3 linked regions of the Astyanax mexicanus genome follow. The protein of the gene in region 2 interacts with the protein of the main gene of each other region in a biochemical or structural test. Links are inferred from orthologs where the notes say so. Each region holds a gene or a part of one and is shown on either strand. Other genes may lie near its edges. The genes, in order: ATR-interacting protein, atr and rpa1.

Region 1 (6,329 bases), on a different chromosome or scaffold from region 2:
AACTCGGGATATTCATTTATAGACAAGTGTATGTTTTTCATTATCTTACGTTATGATGTTCTTTTTACCAAACAGGCTGGATTTAATTTGATATCTTATGTAAAATTCACTTTTCAGACACTTTTTTTGGAGTTAATGTGTTTTATTTGAGCCCAAGTAAGAAAGCTTAGAGACGGTATAGACCAGTAGATATTGACAAATGAAACATATTCATTTATAGACAAAAAGAACTGCTTAGGGAGACTATAAAGATTATTAGCAGTGTTTTAACTGTAAATACTGTGTGTTTTACCTCCTAAAGCTTCCTCTAGAGACAGGCTGAAGTGGTGCAGCTGCTCCTCTGAGAGAAGCCCAGTCCCTCTCAGCAGTGTGCTAATGAAGTTCACAGCCGTGGAAACCTCGGTTTTCATGGTGAAATATTATTTCTCAAACTGTAAAACGATAAGAACAGGGGTTAGGTGTGAATAAGAGAGTTATTAGAGCAGGTATCAGGGCTAAGAGAGGGAAAGCTGGGTTCAGGGATCAGGCCTGCAGTACTGCTGTTGCTGCTGCTGGCAGATTTTCCTTTGTTCAAAACACGAAGAGAAAACGGCGCTAAAACAGCACTTACAGATTCCCGCTCATCCAGCTGCGCTGTAGAGAAGCTCCTGCTTTTCCCGGTGTAACCCTTTGACCGCTAAAACCACGGAAAAGTGCAAATTATCGACTTTTTATCGATCTAAAACTTCTCCCCGTCCCTCCACAGACCAACTGCCACACTGCTGGAGCTGCTCAGCTGGTAAACACCGCGAGCGCTACAGCAGCGCCTCCACCAATCAGCTGCCGCCGAAGCCAACCGCGTCACAAACACGGTGTATTTACACACAGCTCTCTCATTCATTGACTATTACCTGCATAATAATAATAATAATAATAATAATAATAATAATAATAATAATAATAATAATAATAATAATAATAATAATAATAATAATAATGAACAACGCAGGACAAACCAAAATGTATTATGTATTTCTTAACACGTTATATAAGCTCATTTCTTTTTAAAAAAGTGATTTATTCTCAGTTATGTGTAATTTCTGTATGAGGTGTTTCATTAAATCACTAAATGATGACATTGTTGTGATTGTTCCCCATTATTTTCCCTAGTATTATCAAGGCCAAACACTGATAATTTATAAATAAAACAAATGGCCAAAATCAAAACTGCTGTAAAAAAAAAAAATAGACTGTAAAAATATGTATATGTGCACATCTGTCTCATCTGTCTATTTAGGTAAATGGGCATCCATTAACATTAAAACATTAAAAATTAAAGACCAGTGACAGCTTTGAACAGTTTGTTTTTAACAGTTTTGTTAATTTTGCTTAACTATATTGCCCCTGATGAAGCCCCTAATATGTTGTATTGTGTATCATCTCATAAAAATAGTGAATATATAGAGAATTTTTTACTGAATTGTATTAATTGTCCCCTCAACTAAACAAAACGAACTAGTTTTTTTTAGAGCCATTAAAACCCATTGCATTAAGCTCTTTATGTGCTACTCTTCTCTAGCTAATCTGAAGACCACATGGAGTTTGGCGGTCTATAGTGGCTGATTCTGCAGAAAATCTGCTGGCCCTGTTCTGTTATTTTATGTTGACAGAGTGAGCTGCTGTTTCCAGTCGCTTCCACTTTATTATAACACTGACAGTTGACTGTGGAATATTTAGTCGTGAGGAAATTTTATGACTGCGCTTGTTGCAGAGGTGACATCATATGGATGCCTAAAATGCCTATGGATGCTTGGTGTATACACCTGCGGCCATGGAAATGATTGAAACATGAGTTCATTGATTTGCATGGGTGAGTGAATTGACAACAAGGTTGTGGGTTTGATACCTGTGTTTTGCAGGCCACTACTGTTGGGCCCTTGAGGAAAGTCCTTAACCCTCATTGTTTCCAAGGTGCCGCAGCAATGACTGCCCACGTGTGTTGTCACAAAACTACTATGCATGTTTCTGAGTTTCTCTGTGGTCAGTGTACCATTTCTAAGTTAAAATGTTCGGGCTAAATCAGAAAACAGATAATTGGGTGTAAAACTTCATTATTTCTTTAAGTGTAGAAGAAATGGGTTTTGTCCATTTCCCAATTTTCTTTAATTTGTTTCTTCTTCTTGTGCACCTGCAGAATCAGATGTATGTATCTGTAATCAGGTAAAATGTATATTTTCTTTATTTTCTTGCAACAAAAGTAATTTGAGTTATATCATTACATTTGATACAAGATGTAAAAATGGAAAAATCTTAAAATTGAGAAAATATCAAATTCTCCTAAAAAATTTGTAAAATTGTTTCCGAAACACAAAAAATGCTTGAAAATTAAATAATAGATACATATTTTTCTTTACTATTTTAAATAGAAAAAAATAAAAAATATATTTGAGATTTACACACACATTTCGAGTATTTAACTTCAAATGGTCAGAAAATTAAACTGATAATAAATGTTATACTGACCCTCCGTGCACTGACCAATTAGATTAGCCGATTTTCCTGCATCATTGCTGGAGACTGCGGAATTGACCAATCAACAGCGTCCATGCTTGACTGCGCTCGAAACAAGCGGCGCCTTCTCCCTCAGAGATATTCATCCGCTGAAGTTCAGCTAGTTTTTCTGAACCTGCTGCTTTAGAGAGCTTTCAGCCGTTGTCCAGTATGGCCGGTCCGAACCCGGCTTTCTGTTATAAACTACATCTGCAGATGTGAACCCAGACTCGCGCAGTAAAATGCTGGTTTTACTAGAGCTGGAGTTAGCCGCTGCTGTACTCTCACTGTTAGCTACAGGCTAACCCGCTCCGAATTAACCTGCGCCTCTGTCTCAGTAAGTAACTAATACACATTACACTGAACTTATCTAACAGCTTTATTATACAGTATTTTATCTCCTCTTACTCCTGTTAAACTTGGCGACTCTCCGCGCTGCTTTCTGTCTGTGAGCTTAGCTAGGTCAGTTAGCGTTAGCTAGCATAGCATGTGTTATGAGTCCCACAAAAAGACAATAGTATCAATTTATTCTCCTTTCCTTAACTGGAGATATTAGAGATATTAGAGAGAGGTTAACATATTTAATAAGGTTTGGTAGTTAACCATTATAAAATCACCTTTGACCCTTTTTTATCTGAAATTTGTTGAAACTTCTCAGTCCACCTTAAAAAGTGCAGCAGTTTTATTTAGGCACATGTATTTTTTTAAGGTGGAATGGACAGTTGGACTGTGAATAGGACTGAATATAGCTTAACCAATGCAAGTAAATGTTTGATGGGCTTATGCATTTACTTTTACAGTTTTTATGTGCCATTATTGTAAATAAGAACTATACGTTTTTAATGACACGCCAGGTGAAATTAAAGGTTTAATAAAAAAAAAACAAAAAAACAAGAAATCACTTACATATTTGTTTAAACTAACATCTAGGCAGTTGAAACAAATTAAATAACTAATTAAATAACTAGTAATGTCAAAATACTTCAAATACTTTGAACACAGTGAAGTCTTATTCATATTTTGCATACTGTGATGCAGTTAAGCAGGACAAATTTACTGTAGTACTGACAATATCTACATTAAATAAAAAAAAGTGTATTGTGATGTAATGCCTCACAATAACAATATACACTGCTCAAAAATAAAGGAAACACTAAGATAACACATCCTAGATCTCAATTAATGAAATATTTCAGTTGAAAATCTTTTCATCATATGGATCTCATCCCTGTACCTAATGGCAGTCTGGGTACCTCTGGCTAGCTGTGCGGCCTTCCAAAAAAATTCCTCCCCACGCCATTACTGACCCACTGCCAAACCAGTCATGCTGGAGGATGATGCAGCAGCAGAACATTCTCCATGGCATCTCAAGAGCCAATAACAAATCTGTTAATCTTGGCGTTTTCTGGCAAATGCCAGTCACCCCGCATATTCTGGTATCTGCTCCATGCTCTGGACACTGTGCTGACAGACACAGCAAACCTTCTTTTAACAGCTCGCGTTGTTGTGCCATCCTACATGAGCTGCACTACCTGAGCAAACTACTTCCTCTAGGGTGAGCGCACTAACAAAAATGCAAAAATGACCAAAACATCACCCAGAAAGCATGAGAACAGAGAAAAGGTGTGTAGTTGCCACCTTCAGAACCACTACTTTATAGAGGTTGTCTTACTAATTGCTTCTTATTTCTACCTGTTGTCTGTTATATTTGCACAACAGCAAGTGAATTTGATTGTTTTCTCAATGGTTGATTTTAAGTTAGACTGTTCTGTTTTACTGTTTCCTTTATTTTTGGAGCAGCGTCTATATTGCCACATATTAGCTGTTTGCTTGATATTTGCAAAATCTTTTTGGATATTTGACAGACCTCTATTGCTTTAAAATGTACTACATTCAACATGTTCTTTCAATTTCCACAGAAGCTTCCAATGACATGGAGTATCCTCCAAGCAAACGCCTCAGAGGCCCACAGAACACAGCTCCAGTGGAGCAGGACCCCTTTGGGGATGATGAGGACTTTACACAGGATAACCTGGAAGAGATTGATATTATAGCATCGCAGGCTATTACAGGAGATGGTCACCTTACAAGTACGAAAAGGACATTTGCATCCATTTCATCACATCCAGCAGAGCAGAGCAAAGCCCCCGTAAAGCAGGGCAGAAAGACTTTTGCCATCGGGAGCAGCAGCAGCTCAAGCACCAGCAGCATGTATAACAATATGGAGCGCCAGCGCCATGATTCATTCGGTTAGTATAAAAAACACAGAAATCCAGTATGCACATACTGTATTCACCATATCTCCAAATGTTAGACACCTGGTTACCCAGTGTTTCTACTGAAATCAAGAGAAATAAAAGGTAGATTGTCCCCCTTTGCTGCATCAACAGACTCTGCTTTGCTAGGAAAGAAGTACATTTCTGTGAGAAATGTATTGCATTTACCATCACAAGAATATCAGTAAACCATATCTATTACTTTGGAAAATGCTGGATCACAGCCCAGGGGTGTGTGCATGTGTGTGTGGAAGGGTTTTACAGTGTTAGGAAAAAGTTTGGTAAGCATTTTAAAGATTTTGGACTGACATCACTGTGGGCAAGCCCACAAAGCACCTGAGCACACTTTTTTAAAATTAATTACTTATTCATTTCTTAATTTTTTTATGTGTATGTGTAGAAATAATACAACTTTATAAAAACACTTATGCGACTGTAGAACCTATATCATTACTTATTGTGAACAATTTAAATAGATAAATAAAATAAAATGAAATAAAACATATAACAGAAGGCTTTTTATTTTTATTTCCACTTTTATTTGATTGGCAAATATTTCACATAATGTAACAAATGTAGTATTTTCTCAGCAATGAACAGAAGTTTAAACATCCACATTTAACAGGATGACCATCTATTTGCTGACTGTTTGCAGCAGCTGTAATTGGCTAGGCAGTGTTAGGGGAGTTGAAAATGAGAATGTGATTGGCTCAGTTTTTCAGTATTCAGCATCCTATTAAACGGGATCAGCTGTTTAATTTACAAAATTACTGCTCATTTTCTAAGATAACAAATGTGCAAAATTAATGTCAGCCGAAATTATGATGATGTAATTGTCATAATAGGCCATACGTTTTTTTTTCGTTTGTTTGTTTTTGTTTTTTGTGCATGGATGCCCTGATCACTATGGTCACAGTATTATAAATACTGTTGTAATAACATACTCCAGAATACTCAGCGTTTTCTTTGTTTTGAAGGAAATGGTCAGTTGTCTAAAGACAGAGATGAGCTGGATTACAGCAGACTGGAGGCTCAACAAGCAGAGTTAAAGAGAAAGGTATTTGAACATTAATCGATGCCATTGTGATTAATATACATAATTGATTGAAAGCCTCTGTGTGTACTTTTTGGCATAATTTATGTACTTTTATAAATCAGTACCTATTGTGTGTGTTTAATTGTTGTGTTTAATGCAGCTAAAGGAGGTGGAGGACCAGATCTTAATGAAGAATGGTGAGATTAGGGTCTTGCGAGACTCGCTTAAACTGGCTAATCAGGAGAAGGAGCAGCAGAGACAGGCTAATGTTGCGTTGGAAAGGGAAAGAGCCAATGTGCAGAGTGAGAAAGAGAAGGAACTTTCCAAGAAGGTAAATAATTTTTTTTAGTTTTTGATCATTGATTATGATTTTTAATTATAAGTGAACAAATATCTTGGATCACCCATGCATAATTTGATTAAGGAAGAACATCAGAGTTTTTCAGCAATCCAATCAGTGCATTTACATGAATGTGGGTAATCGGATA
Region 2 (6,329 bases):
CTTAACCCATTCATTTCCAGCAACAGGGCCGTTATATATAAGGTAGACACCTTAAATTCAGTGTTTTGCATTATTTTAAAATGTTCTGCATTGTAGATTATTACTAAACTCATTCAAACTATGAAGAAAAACTACCTATTTTATTCTATTTTATTTTATTCTATTATATTTTATTCTATTATACTATTATATTTAATCTTTACATGTGATGTAAATGAGAATAAAGTCTCATTGAATCCTATTTAGTAAAGTTATACAGGAACACATGCTGAATTATTTAGTGAACTTAAAACTGTTAAACAAACCAGAATATGTTTTATACTTTAGATTATCATTATTAAAACATATAAATACAGAATTAAGCTTTATCTTTATGAGGTAGAGTCACCTGGAATTTTTTTAAACAGAGATTTCCAACATGACTTGAGCATTTGCTTTCTTTTTATAGCTTTATTTTAACTCTAGAAAGAATGACTTAAATACAATTGTTTAAAACAATTAAACAGTGCTAAATCATTGATTAACCCAATTTAGTTAGCTAAGTAATGATATACAAAAGTTTGGGCGCACCTTTAATGAGTATTAATGAAAACTATGAAGAAACAACATATGCAATTATTTATTAAACTATTAAAAGCTTACTTAACTAAAAAAAAGTATCTCCTCTTGTTTAGATGATGAGTTTTGAACATCTCTGCTGGATTTTCTCAGTCAGTTTTATGAGGTAGAGTCTCCTGGAATTTAGACTTTCAGTTAACAGCTGTGCTGAACTCATCAAAGTTAATTACTTGAATTTCTTGTCTCTTAATAAAGTGTTTGAGAGCATCAGTTAAAGTAAAGTAGTGAAGAGGTAGAGTTACAGGTATACAGTGAATAGTGAATATTTCAGTAATGTTCTAATCCAGATTATGAGAAGCAACAACTACTCAACTAAATAAAGAACAGTGAAGGTCAGTCAATCCGAAAAAAAGAATTTCAAGAATTTTCCAAGAAAGTATCCTCAAGTGCAGTCATCGCAAAAAAAAACACATAAAAATCGGTAAAATGGTGAAACTGGTACTCATCAGGACCGTCCCAGGAAAGGATAGAAGAGCAAGAGTGTCCCCTTAATATATACCCTTTAATATGATATATATATTTATTTTTTCTTCCAAATGTAGAATTGTGTAGAGTTCTGAGCCACATACATATATGTGGCTCAGAACTCTACACAATAATATATATATATATATATATATATATATGTTATTGAATATATATATATATATATATATATATATATATATATATATATATATATATATATATATATATATATATATATTCTAAGCCACAATAAAATTGCTGTAAAGTTATATTTAAAGTTAAACTCCAGCAAAACACCAATCAGAACATCAGAACTGGGACCGCTTAACTGAATTCATACCGGGAAGCAACGGGTTAATGAGCAAACGAGCAGTTGCCCTGGAAACGGGGTGAACGGGAGGCTGCGCTGCGGCTTCCTGACAAAATAAAGGTCTTAAAATAAAAGTCTTAGCGCTTAGCTATCAATGTACTTAATAAATCGAATCTTTTAGAATGGGAATCACAAAACTGGCAGATTTAATTCGGAATGAAGCTCGTAGTTCTGTTTCTCACAAGGAAATCGGAGATTATACCGGTAACACCCGATAAATACAGTTAAATTATGATATATGTTTTTTTGGAACTCTCCGTTCCACCTTAAATGGTGCAGCAGCTGGCGCCAGAACGCCACTGCTGGCTGAAACATTTAAGGTGGAACAGGAAGTTCGAACATGAAGTAGACTTTAGCTTTGTTTGTTTTGTTTTGTTTTTAGCTTTATTTAATTATAGCATTTTAAATCGAATCTTTTAGAATGGGAATCACTAAACTGGCAGATTTAATTCGGAGTGAAGCTCCTGGTTCTATTTCTCACAAGGAAATCGGAGATTACACCGGTAACACCTGATAAATACAGTTAAAACAGACAGATTGCACTTAGCATAGCATAGCTCAGCATAGCTTAGCCTAGCTAAATAATAATAATTAAGTTGGAAAAAGAAAAAATATGCGAAGGACGAAGTAAGCAGTAGGAAGAAAAATGAAATACTAATTTTTTTGTTGGGTCATTTTATTTAGTTTTATACATTTATTTTTCCGTCTATTATTTCTGTGCTTTTATACTGGATATTGTTTTCACAATATTGTTTTCACTGATTGGATTTGTCCTGTTTTAACATGTTTTTCCTCTTTTCTCATTCCCTCAATAAAATCAGTTTCTCTGATTTTGCTATTTATAGGTTTATGTTTGAGTAAAATGAACAATGTTGTTTTATTCTATAAACTACAGACAACATTTCTCCCAAATTCCAAATAAAAATATTCTCATTTAGAGCATTTATTTACAGAAAATGAGAAATTACTGAAATAACAAAAAAGATGCAGAGCTTTCAGACCTCAAATAATGCAAAGAAAACAAGTTCATATTCATAAAGTTTTAAGAGTTCAGAAATAATCAATATTTGGTGGAATAACCCTGGTTTTTAATCACAGGTTTTTTTTCATGCATCTTGGCATCATGTTCTCCTCCACCAGTCTTACACACTGCTTTTGGATAACTTTATGCTGCTTTACTCCTGGTGCAAAAATTCAAGCAGTTCAGTTTGGTGGTTTGATGGTTTGTGATCATCCATCTTCCTCTTGATTATATTCCAGAGGTTTTCAATTTGTTAAAATCAAAGAAAATCATCATTTTTAAGTGCTCTCTTATCCGAAACATTATAATGATAAAACTGGCACTCATCAGAACTGCCCCAGTTAAGGCAGAATTAACAGCATAGCTATTTAGCTATTTCTAACTCTTTAAATCTATCTAGTTAATACATTTCCCAGTATTTCTGAATGAGGGTTCTGATTGTGCTGAAATGCTGATATATGATGTAGATCATTATTTAACTATATATTTAATATCTGTTTTTTATGTGTTTTTTGTGTTGTAGGAAAGGTTATCGCTCTCGATACTTCCATTGTTGTGAACCAGTTTCGCTCAGCTGTGCCCGGTCTGCCATACAGGTGAGAGAACCCTGAATCCCATAATGTTATTATATCATGACTGAGCGAAAAGCATGGACAGGTTCAGGTGGTTAAGGTGGATATGGTTGTTAAGGTGGATAGGGTGGTTAAGATGGTTGACCCGATGGTAAGGTATATTTTTCTGCCCAAACCTGACCAAGCTTATTGATCAGCAAGACCTAAAATCAATAGAAATGTTCTCTATGTTATTTAAAGGGTAACAACCCACCCTGATTTTAGACTCCCCCCTGGATGATGGATGGGTTTACGGGCGGAAACATCATCCTCGCCCATAGCACAGTTGAACCTGAGAGGAGCTGCAGAGGCAGAAATTACCACAATAAAAGCATTTTTAAAGGTTAGGAAAGGTTTATAAAAATGTATGCAGGACTGGTATGTTAATACATGGTTTATATATGAATTACTAGCATACCCAGAAATCAAAGGGACGTTGAATCAACGTTAATTTTTCCATCTCTAATGCATTGAAACAATGTTGATCTCTGACATTTGTGAACATCGATTTTACATTAAATATGTATAATAGTCATTTTTACTTGTACAGTCTCGTAGAAAGCTGGGGCAAATTCTTTTAGCATAATAATAATAATAATGAAAGTTTCTGGGTTGTAATATGGAATGTATTCTTAACATACTACAAATTCATACATTATTTATTAATTATTAATATAAGTGGTTCTAAAGCAGTTATACAGATACAGGAGTTGGATAATGAAACTGAAACACCTGGTTTTAGAGCACAGTAATTGATTGTGGTGACGGACAGTTCTGGTGGAAACAGGAGAGTTGAGGTGAACATTGAATTCTGCGTGATTTGATCAGACGTGGTTTTATGTTTTTTGGATACAATCCGGGTTAGCACCCGAACATCCCTTTCAGACAGCTTCCTCTTACAGCGTCCACAGTTAATCCTGTTGGATGTGGTTAGTTCTTCTTGGTGGTATGCTGACATTACCCTGGATACCGTGGCTCTTGATGCATCACAAAGACTTGCTGTCTTGGTCACAGATGCTCCAGCAAGACGTGCACCAACAATTTGTCCTCTTTTGAACTCTGGTATGTCACCCATAATGTTGTGTGCATTGTAATATTTAGAGCAGAACTGTGCTCTTACCCTGCTAATTGAACCTTCACACTCTGCTCTTACTGGTGCAATGTGCAATTAATGAAGATTGAACACCAGGCTGCTCCAATTTAGACATGAAACCTAAAATCCCACACTAAAATGATGACAGGTGTTTCAGTTTCATTGTCCAACCCCTGTATATACACATTTACTTTAGTCCTAATAATTCAGTTTTCTTCACAGTCCTCTACTCGGCCTGTTCTACCGCACCCTTACTTTCCTTGAACATGACATCAAGCCGGTCTTCGTGTTTGACGGGAAGCCGCCCAATCAGAAGAGAGCTGTGGTGAGAATCAGATTTTTTAAAGTTAAATCGAGAAGTCCTTTTTAATTTTGCAGTAACGCGTAGTTTGTGTTGTGTTAGCTGGAGAAAAGAGCTCAGAGCGCCGGCTGGAACAGCTCCTATCGCTCCAACACCGGTAAGAAGAGCAACACCAGATATTTTATATATATATATACGTATATATATATATATATATATATATATATATATAGATTCTGTGTGTTCAAATATTTTTTCAATTCTAGTGTCCACCAAAACCCAGGAATTCCTCCGTCTCGTGCAGCTGATGGGAATGCCCTTTATCATGGTAACTACACATTTATTTCTTATCTATAACTAAATTTCTCCTGTATTATAGTACTGTATTATAGTCTCTGTGCTCTCTGATTGGTCAGGCTCCTGCAGATGGTGAGGCGCTGTGTGCTCACCTGGTCAGAGGTGGGGTGGTGGACGCTGTGGCCTCTGAGGACATGGACACGCTGGCGTTCGGAGGTACCACCCTTCTACGCCAGCTCAACGCCAAGAGAGACAGGTGAACAACCAGTACAACCATTAATACAGTCTACTATCTGTCCATCTATGGTATCATAATCATAAACGTACATCAGCAGTGCCATTCTAATCATAGAGCAGTACAGAAGTACTATTCTAAACGTACATTTACCTCAGCAGTGCTATTCCATTCAAACATTTACATCAGCACTGCTATTCTAATCATATATTTACCTCAGCAGTGTTATTCCAATCATAAATTTACAATAGCAATGCTATTTTAATCATACATTTACCTCAGTAGCGCTATTCTAATCATACATTTACATCAGCAGATTTATTCTAATTATATATTTACATTAGCAATGCTATTCTAATTATACATTTACATCAGCAATGCTATTCTAATTATACATTTACATCAGCAATGCTATTCTAATTATACATTTACATCAGCAGTGCTATCCTAATCATAAACTTACCTCAGCAGTGATATTCTAATCATACATTTACATCAGCATTGCGATTCTAAGCATAGATTTACCTTAACATTCCTATTCTAATCATACATTTACCTCAGTAGTGATATTCTAATCATACATTCAACTAAGGCAATGCTAGTCTAATCATACATTTTCCTCAGCAGTGCTTCTCTAGTCATATGTAGCTAGATAACTTGGAATGTATATAGAGAAAGAATACGTTAAGGCTACATTACCTTGACTAACTTCACTATGCTAGTCCTGTACAGCTTTGTATCTCTCAGCTTGAAAACAGAAGGTTTGTGAAAAGGTAATAAACTGAGTAAACTGATAAAGTGTGTTAAGTAATGGTGAATACTTTGTTTAGTGTAATTTATGTCAGTAGATTAAAAAATGAACTTAAACCTGCCATATGTCAGCTCTCTCTGACGGCTCTCTCCCTCACTTCCTGTATTGTAAACAGTATTTATTTAAGAATAAAGCTTATAAAAGTCAAATTAAAAGAGGAGTACACCTTTTAAACCATTGTTATGCATTTGCAACATGCGTCTGTTCTGACTCACATTAAATAATTTGAAAATTGTTCTGATTTTTCAGTGAGGTCACAGAATACTCCTTACCAAAACTACTGGAAACTTTGCAGCTCACACAGGAAGAGGTCAGTCACAGTGTGTGGTAATGGTGTTTGGGTTGTATTTATTGTATGTATTATTTATTATTATCTTAAAGGTCTCCTTCCGCTAAAATCCACTTTTTCGTGTTCTTTGTGAAATACAGTACAGTAGAGTTGTTTATGATGCTACACATGAAACTGTTCCTCAACCTCTATTCAATAAATAAGCACCGTGCCTA
Region 3 (6,329 bases), on a different chromosome or scaffold from region 2:
AATCAAGACTTTCAACAATGGGAATTATATGCTATAAAGCATGTTCAATGGACAGGAGTCAAATATGCAGAAACATATTGGAAATTTTGGAATGATACTTCTCACCATCAAGGCAAATTACCTTTCATCTTATGATAAAGCTCATATCACCAGCAGTCAACTGCATTGTTTTAAAAGCCTAATGTTTCATGATTAAAGAAAAGGGTTTTAAAGAATTAAGCGTTTCTTGCTGTATTTTTACAAAGTTGCAGGGCCAATAAGCTATACTTTAGTATCTTGCTTAAAACTTTTAGACTATAGACACAAGAAACTCACCTACAATTGAAGTTTGGATCGAATTTGCAAAACTCTGATCAGGTATCATGCATTTTCTTGCTGTCCACGTGATCAAAAATCTGTCTGCATACAATCTAGATATGCCAAAAACTGTATTTGGACTGGCAATCTGATTCTAGCCAATTAGCTTTAGGTTTTATACCAGTTTACACGCCTAGTGTACACTTTATTGTACAGTGTGATATAAAGGTGGTATTCATTTAGACATTTAGATCAAACATCACATGTTTCAGGCTTATACTTTTAGTAAAAATCTGTTTTACAGTCCTAATATTAGCAGTTGCTTTTGATTTCTAAATAAAGTTCACCTGAGTAGACATTTTTTTGTTTCATTTCTGCAATAAGTAATGCAGTGCAATTAATATAAAACAACAGTTTGTGCCATGGTAATTGAGATATTATTCTTTGATTGTGGTGGTTTGTGGTTCATATTTTTTTTATTTTTCCAACAAACTATTGTTTTTACAAATCATATACAGACATCCCACCCTGAAAAAACTAATTTCAGGGGGGGAGGGGGGGGGGTGTAGGTCCTTCAAATCTGTACTTAAAATATAAAATATAACATAATTTCAATGAAGTGCACAGAGTACAGTATCTCCTTAACACTTAGCCAGCTAGTTGTTAAACGAGTTAATGAACGAGTAAATTAAAAATGTAGGAGACTCCCTGAACTTCCGCGACAGGTGGGAACTTTTCTTATAGTGTACCTACAACAACTAAATTTGCTGTTACTGAGCCCAGAGAGTATCATGGTAAAACAATTCTATTGTTACAAATAAAAAAATGATAGATGCTGAAAAATGTTGCCTTACTTTTTTATAAATTGTTTCCTCAATCTTCAAAAAAGTTTTCTTAATTGAAATAATTGTTCTGTCTGTTTAACTAAAGCGTATGAAGCATATGATGGCGTAAAAAAATAAAGAGTTGATTTCGAGAATAAAGTCATAATATTTTAAGATTAAAGTTGTATTGCAATCAGGAAAGTTGCATTATTATGATCGAAGAGTTTGCAAATCGATATAGTAATCTCCTCGTGTTAAAATAAATTACTTTATCCTCAATAGTTTATTCTCAAAATATTTTTTTAAAATCTCGAAATATTATGAGTTTAATCACGAAATATTACAAGTTTATTCTAGAAATATTCTGAATTTATTTGAAATATTACAACTTTATCTGCAAAATGTTACAAGTTTATTCTAAATATTACGAGTTTATTTTTTTAAATAATAAGTTTATTGTAGAAGTATGAGTTTATTTTCAAAATATAAGCTTATTCGTATATTACTACTTTATTTGCAAAATATTGAGTTTATTTTTTAAATATAAGTTTATTCTTGAAATATTATGTGTTCATTTTCAAAATAGTACGCCTTTATTCTCTTAATATTACTACTTTAAGTGCAAAATATTACAAACTTATTTTTTGAAAAATAAGTTTATTCTAGAAGTATGAATTTTACTACTTTATTTGCGAAATATTGCGACTTTATTTGCGAAATGTTGCAAGTTTATTCTTGTAATATTATTAATATTTTTGAAGTCCGTTTTTTTTATTATTTTAAGAGTGGCTTTAAAACGCTGTCGTAAAAGGCTTCCTTTAAAGTGAGTAAAAAATAATAATAAAAAAGGACGAATGGTTTAATTTTTATTAGCTATTATTTTTATGATGTAAATATATTTATTTATTTTAGAATAAAAGTCCTAAGCATTTTAGCTAACCCTAAAATACCCTAAATAAGAGAGAAACTATATAGTTATATGTGTTAAAAACTCTGTATACATGCTAGTCTCTGTAGTCACTGGGGGGGAAAAGACCTCCTCCTTCGACCCTTCAGCGGAAGTGATGCAAGAAGCCGGAGCGCGCGCTTACACTGAAAGTTGGCGCCACGACTCAGAACAACAACACGGAGCGGGAGCGGAGCGGCTGAGAATTTATATTAAACCCCGATATTTCTCCTCCAGCTCGCAGCCATGACTGTTACACTGTCAGAAGGAGCTATAGAGGTGTGTACCGGGTAAACGAGAGGGGTAAAAGCGTAGTGTGAGAGCTGTTAAATAAGAAGGCCGAGAGCAGCGCAGAGTCAGCCTGGCTAAATAACTAACGCTAAGTAGTTCTAGCAGCTCAGTAACGGCAACTGGAGCTAAAGCTAAAGCTAACAGGCGACCTAACTTAGTGATTTAGAGAAATCTGTGTCTCAGTAAAGTAGAGAATGCTGAAAAAAATCTGCTCTAAAGAGTACATGTTATGATGGGATATGTAGAAAAATCTTTCCGTACGCCAACGATTTTTATTTGGATTGTCTATTCCACCTTAAACGGTGTCCAGGCGCTGCACAGTTTAAGGTGGAACGGTTCTGTTGTCATTCAAACGGCGTGGCCTTTTCGGTTAAATCACCGTTTTCCCTTCGTAAATACAATTAAGCTAGTTTAGCTAATCCAAACTTTTAACTATTCAATTATTCAGATCTAGGAGGCGCGTGTGCGCTGGGAAATCACCGAACTGCAAACCTGTCGTCCTAAAGAAAAAGGGGTTCTAATGCTGTCCATACACTAAGTTACACGACGTTGAAAAAAAAACTCTTAAAAAAAAAAAAGACTTTTAACAGACTAAAATCTGACACCCTCTCACATCTAAAGACAAGACGTTTTAATTACAGGCTCAGATTATTATCTGAGAATATTTCCCATCATGCTTCTGGTGGAGTTTACATACAATACTTGTGACATTAAGCTACACATAATGTGTAAGTTAAATCAGTACTCTGATTTGTCATCTCGTGATTTTATTTCGACTCTGGAAATGTGTCTGCGACATTGAAATCACTTGAAAATCGTTAGGTGTAAGGTCAACATAAGAAGAAAATGCTTTTCTCTGAACGTGAACTCGTGGTTTCTCCCTGTTATTGTAATGTGTGACTTATAGTTGTTGTTTATTTGTCTGTGTAAGAAAAATATTGGTTTTCTGATCATAACAAAGTTCTTATTATTTCCAACAAAGATTTATTTGCAGCCGTGAACGTGTAGATTTTGCAACACTTAGATTTTTTCACCCCTTAAAAAAAAAAAAACTTGTTCCATCAAATGTTTTAAATGTACTTTTTAGCATCTTATGTGCAATTACTATTTCGCACCAAAAACCTATAGACTGTCACTAAGTTAAATCAATCTGGACAAACTCCATAGAATGCCTTAGAAATATTTTCTTTGGGTGGACTTCTTTGTATTTTAGATGTTTTTTTAATGGATTTTAAAAACTGTCAGTTGAAGGAAACTCAGCTCAGAAAGACAATTTTTTAGAAATTTCATTAGACTTTATTTTGTGTATTTGTATGTATTTTTCTTAACTGTGTGTGTTCTATCATTTCAGCTCCTGATCAAAGGTAGTGAGGTTTCAAACCCAGTGCTTCAATGTGTTGTAAGTTCTTCTGTCAGTTGCATGTTTTTTTTCTGCTGGTGTTTTTTTTTTTTTTTACGAGAGTGTTAGATGTTTTCACTTGTTACTTCTCTTGATTTTAAGGAAAAATTATGGCCTGTCAATCTTATTGTAAGCCAAGTTTGTTTTACTGAAAAAATATAATAGAATGCAGTAGCGTTCTTTTACAGACCATCAGCATTTAAATATAACATTTATAAAACAAAATAAAACTGATGATGTGACAGGCATAAATCATTCTCAGATGACATCAAAACAGGTTTAGTAGGTATCCAAATATAAATGTTTTTGGCTTATGAAAGGATTCAATATAAACCTGTTTTATCATTAGTTAAATATTAAATTTAGCCTGCACAAATATGAGAAATGAATCAAATTTTAGAGCTTTTTTGGTTTGCAGCCTTATTCTCATGTATGTGAAATAAAAATTGTTTTTTCTCTGCAGAATATCCGAAAGATTGATGGAGGCAGTGGACCAGTCCGCTTTCGCCTCATGATGAGTGATGGCCTTCATACTATGTCCTGTAAGTGTGTGTTTGTGTGTTGGAGGGGATCTATTTAACCTTATACATGAAACCAAAGCATATGTATATAGATTTTTGCTTCCTCATTTGGATCTAAAGTTCTAGGTAAAGGTATCATATTGTATCTTAATGGCATCTCTCTGAAGAACTCTGTTTTCCTTAGAGCTTGCATAGTTTATCCAGTAATTCACTAAACTGTTACATAATAAAGTGCTGTGATTTTTATATCCATTGCTTATGCTTCTCATATCTGAATTTAATTGGTGTTTGTTGAGTATCCTTGTGAGTATCTCTGGGTATTTTCAAAACATAATGAGCCTAACATTGAAGAGGTACTTCACCATCAAAACAATTTTCTTGACTGCCTGAGTTTTTAAAATGACTCAGTGGCTGTTTCAATCATGACAATTAAATGAAAATGTTGTCTTACAATTGCACTATATAATGTTTAGAATAAATGTAAATAAGGATACAAAAACAGATCATATATTTCAAACAGTTATTGGTATGCTGGTTAGATTAATACAACTTAAGTTTGGTGCTCAACTGACTTCTCTGTGAACACCCTGACACTGTATGGATTTGTTGACTTCCTCCGCTTGCAAGTTAAACCCCTTTGACAAATGGAAGAAATGGTTGATATATGGTTATTCATTGAAGAGGGTATTTTTTTTTCTTGAAAAATAGACATGGGTATTTTTAAAAACTCGTATTACCCTTCTTCCATTAAAAAAAACAAAACATTTTTGTCCACACAGAGACTAATATGCTTGCATTAGCATACTAGATCTGTATGAGGTAATAGAAACTCAAGTAAGATATCAAAGCACTGCAGAGAAAATTACTCCCTAGGCAGTGTATGACAATACAGTCACAAAATTACTTGGCACTAGAATGGCGTATCATAGGTGATATCGCCAACATTTTTGAATATCGTAAACTATATTATATCCTGAAATATGGTGCCATATCATCCACCCCTAATTATCACATCAGGGTACTACTTTCTAGCTGGTTTTAGTAAAAAGAAAAATGTACACTGTTCTCATTTTCCATTATTTATCTACTAGAGACAGATTATATCTGTCCAGTATCATTTATTTTACTTTAATCCTGGATTTATGGAGATATTTGCAGTGCATTATTAGATTTATGACATTCTGGATCACTGATTTATGTTACAAATCAGATAAAATGTTCTATCTTTTAATATCTTAGTAAGGGGTGTGCGATATCAGCTCATATGCACTAATAAAAAACATCATAATTTCATTTTGTTGCAGTAGTGTGCTCTTAAAATATGTTTTCTTAATTCCATGAAATATACCATGAAAATACCATGAAATATCGCACTGTTATTTTAGCCCCATATCGTCCACCCCTAGTTCTGACATTTAAAAAAAAAAAAAAAAAACTAAGCCTCATTTTCAAAAAAAAGCTAAATTTGTTGTTAAATTTGTTAAATTAGTTGCCAGTAATGGTGTTTATATGTAGTCAAAATTCTCTTTTAAAGGAAAATAAAAATCCAGATATGTGATCAGGGTCACTTGTATTACATATGTTCCCAGCTTTAAGACATGCCTATGTTCAATTAATTCAATTTAATTCAGGTTTATTTATATAGCGCTTTTTACAACAAAAGTTATCACAAAGCAGCTTTACAGAGAAAACTGGTCCAAACTGGCCCCTTATGTGCGAGCACCACAGTAATGCCAATAATTGTGACATAAACCTTTTAATGTAAGGGAGTAGTTTATGTAAAAAAGACCTGGATGGTATTAGCAGTATTTTTAGGACAGCAACATGTGTTGTGCATGGTGCTGCAGAGATCAATGTATCAGGAGGTAGTAGGGCTGCTGTGGAGTGATTGGGCTTGAAGTGATCAAAGAGTAGAGAGAGAACCCCATGAAAACAATACCCTTTCCTGCTTTTAATTTACTGAGATGTAAAAGTGTTGATGGCACGAAACCTTATGAATAAGTTATAGAGCAATTTTCTTGTGCATTAAGAAGCACTGTTGTGGTGCATTT

The links.
Region 1: the proteins of atr (region 2) and ATR-interacting protein form a complex in vitro, tested with the Homo sapiens proteins (4 studies listed by BioGRID and IntAct, with this or other methods). The link is inferred for Astyanax mexicanus from reciprocal best matches to the Homo sapiens genes ATR and ATRIP.
Region 3: the proteins of atr (region 2) and rpa1 form a complex in vitro, tested with the Homo sapiens proteins (2 studies listed by BioGRID, with this or other methods). The link is inferred for Astyanax mexicanus from reciprocal best matches to the Homo sapiens genes ATR and RPA1.

The regions. Positions count from the first base shown.
Region 1 is NC_064431.1:12,685,198-12,691,526, forward strand, and holds the start of ATR-interacting protein, read left to right. Parts: upstream 1-2,578; 5' UTR 2,579-2,866; intron 2,867-3,793; exon of another isoform or gene 3,794-4,084; intron 4,085-4,448; 5' UTR 4,449-4,462; coding exon 4,463-4,778; intron 4,779-5,782; coding exon 5,783-5,862; intron 5,863-6,001; coding exon 6,002-6,172; intron 6,173-6,329. Other genes in the region: si:dkey-42i9.4 (protein BTG1), read right to left, coding at 293-410. UniProt on the Homo sapiens protein: Required for checkpoint signaling after DNA damage. Required for ATR expression, possibly by stabilizing the protein.
Region 2 is NC_064411.1:57,786,456-57,792,784, reverse strand, and holds the start of atr (serine/threonine-protein kinase ATR), read right to left. Parts: upstream 3,383-6,329; 5' UTR 3,368-3,382; coding exon 3,303-3,367; intron 3,074-3,302; coding exon of another isoform or gene 3,001-3,073; intron 1,960-3,000; coding exon of another isoform or gene 1,878-1,959; exon of another isoform or gene 1,766-1,877; intron 1,661-1,765; coding exon of another isoform or gene 1,579-1,660; exon of another isoform or gene 1,526-1,578; intron 1-1,525. Other genes in the region: zgc:110269 (probable flap endonuclease 1 homolog), read left to right, coding at 1,878-1,959, 3,001-3,073, 4,404-4,506, 4,585-4,639, 4,749-4,810, 4,899-5,035, 6,075-6,135. UniProt on the Homo sapiens protein: Serine/threonine protein kinase which activates checkpoint signaling upon genotoxic stresses such as ionizing radiation (IR), ultraviolet light (UV), or DNA replication stalling, thereby acting as a DNA damage sensor.
Region 3 is NC_064425.1:14,362,954-14,369,282, forward strand, and holds the start of rpa1 (replication protein A 70 kDa DNA-binding subunit), read left to right. Parts: upstream 1-2,194; 5' UTR 2,195-2,313; coding exon 2,314-2,346; intron 2,347-3,709; coding exon 3,710-3,757; intron 3,758-4,220; coding exon 4,221-4,299; intron 4,300-6,329. UniProt on the Homo sapiens protein: As part of the heterotrimeric replication protein A complex (RPA/RP-A), binds and stabilizes single-stranded DNA intermediates that form during DNA replication or upon DNA stress.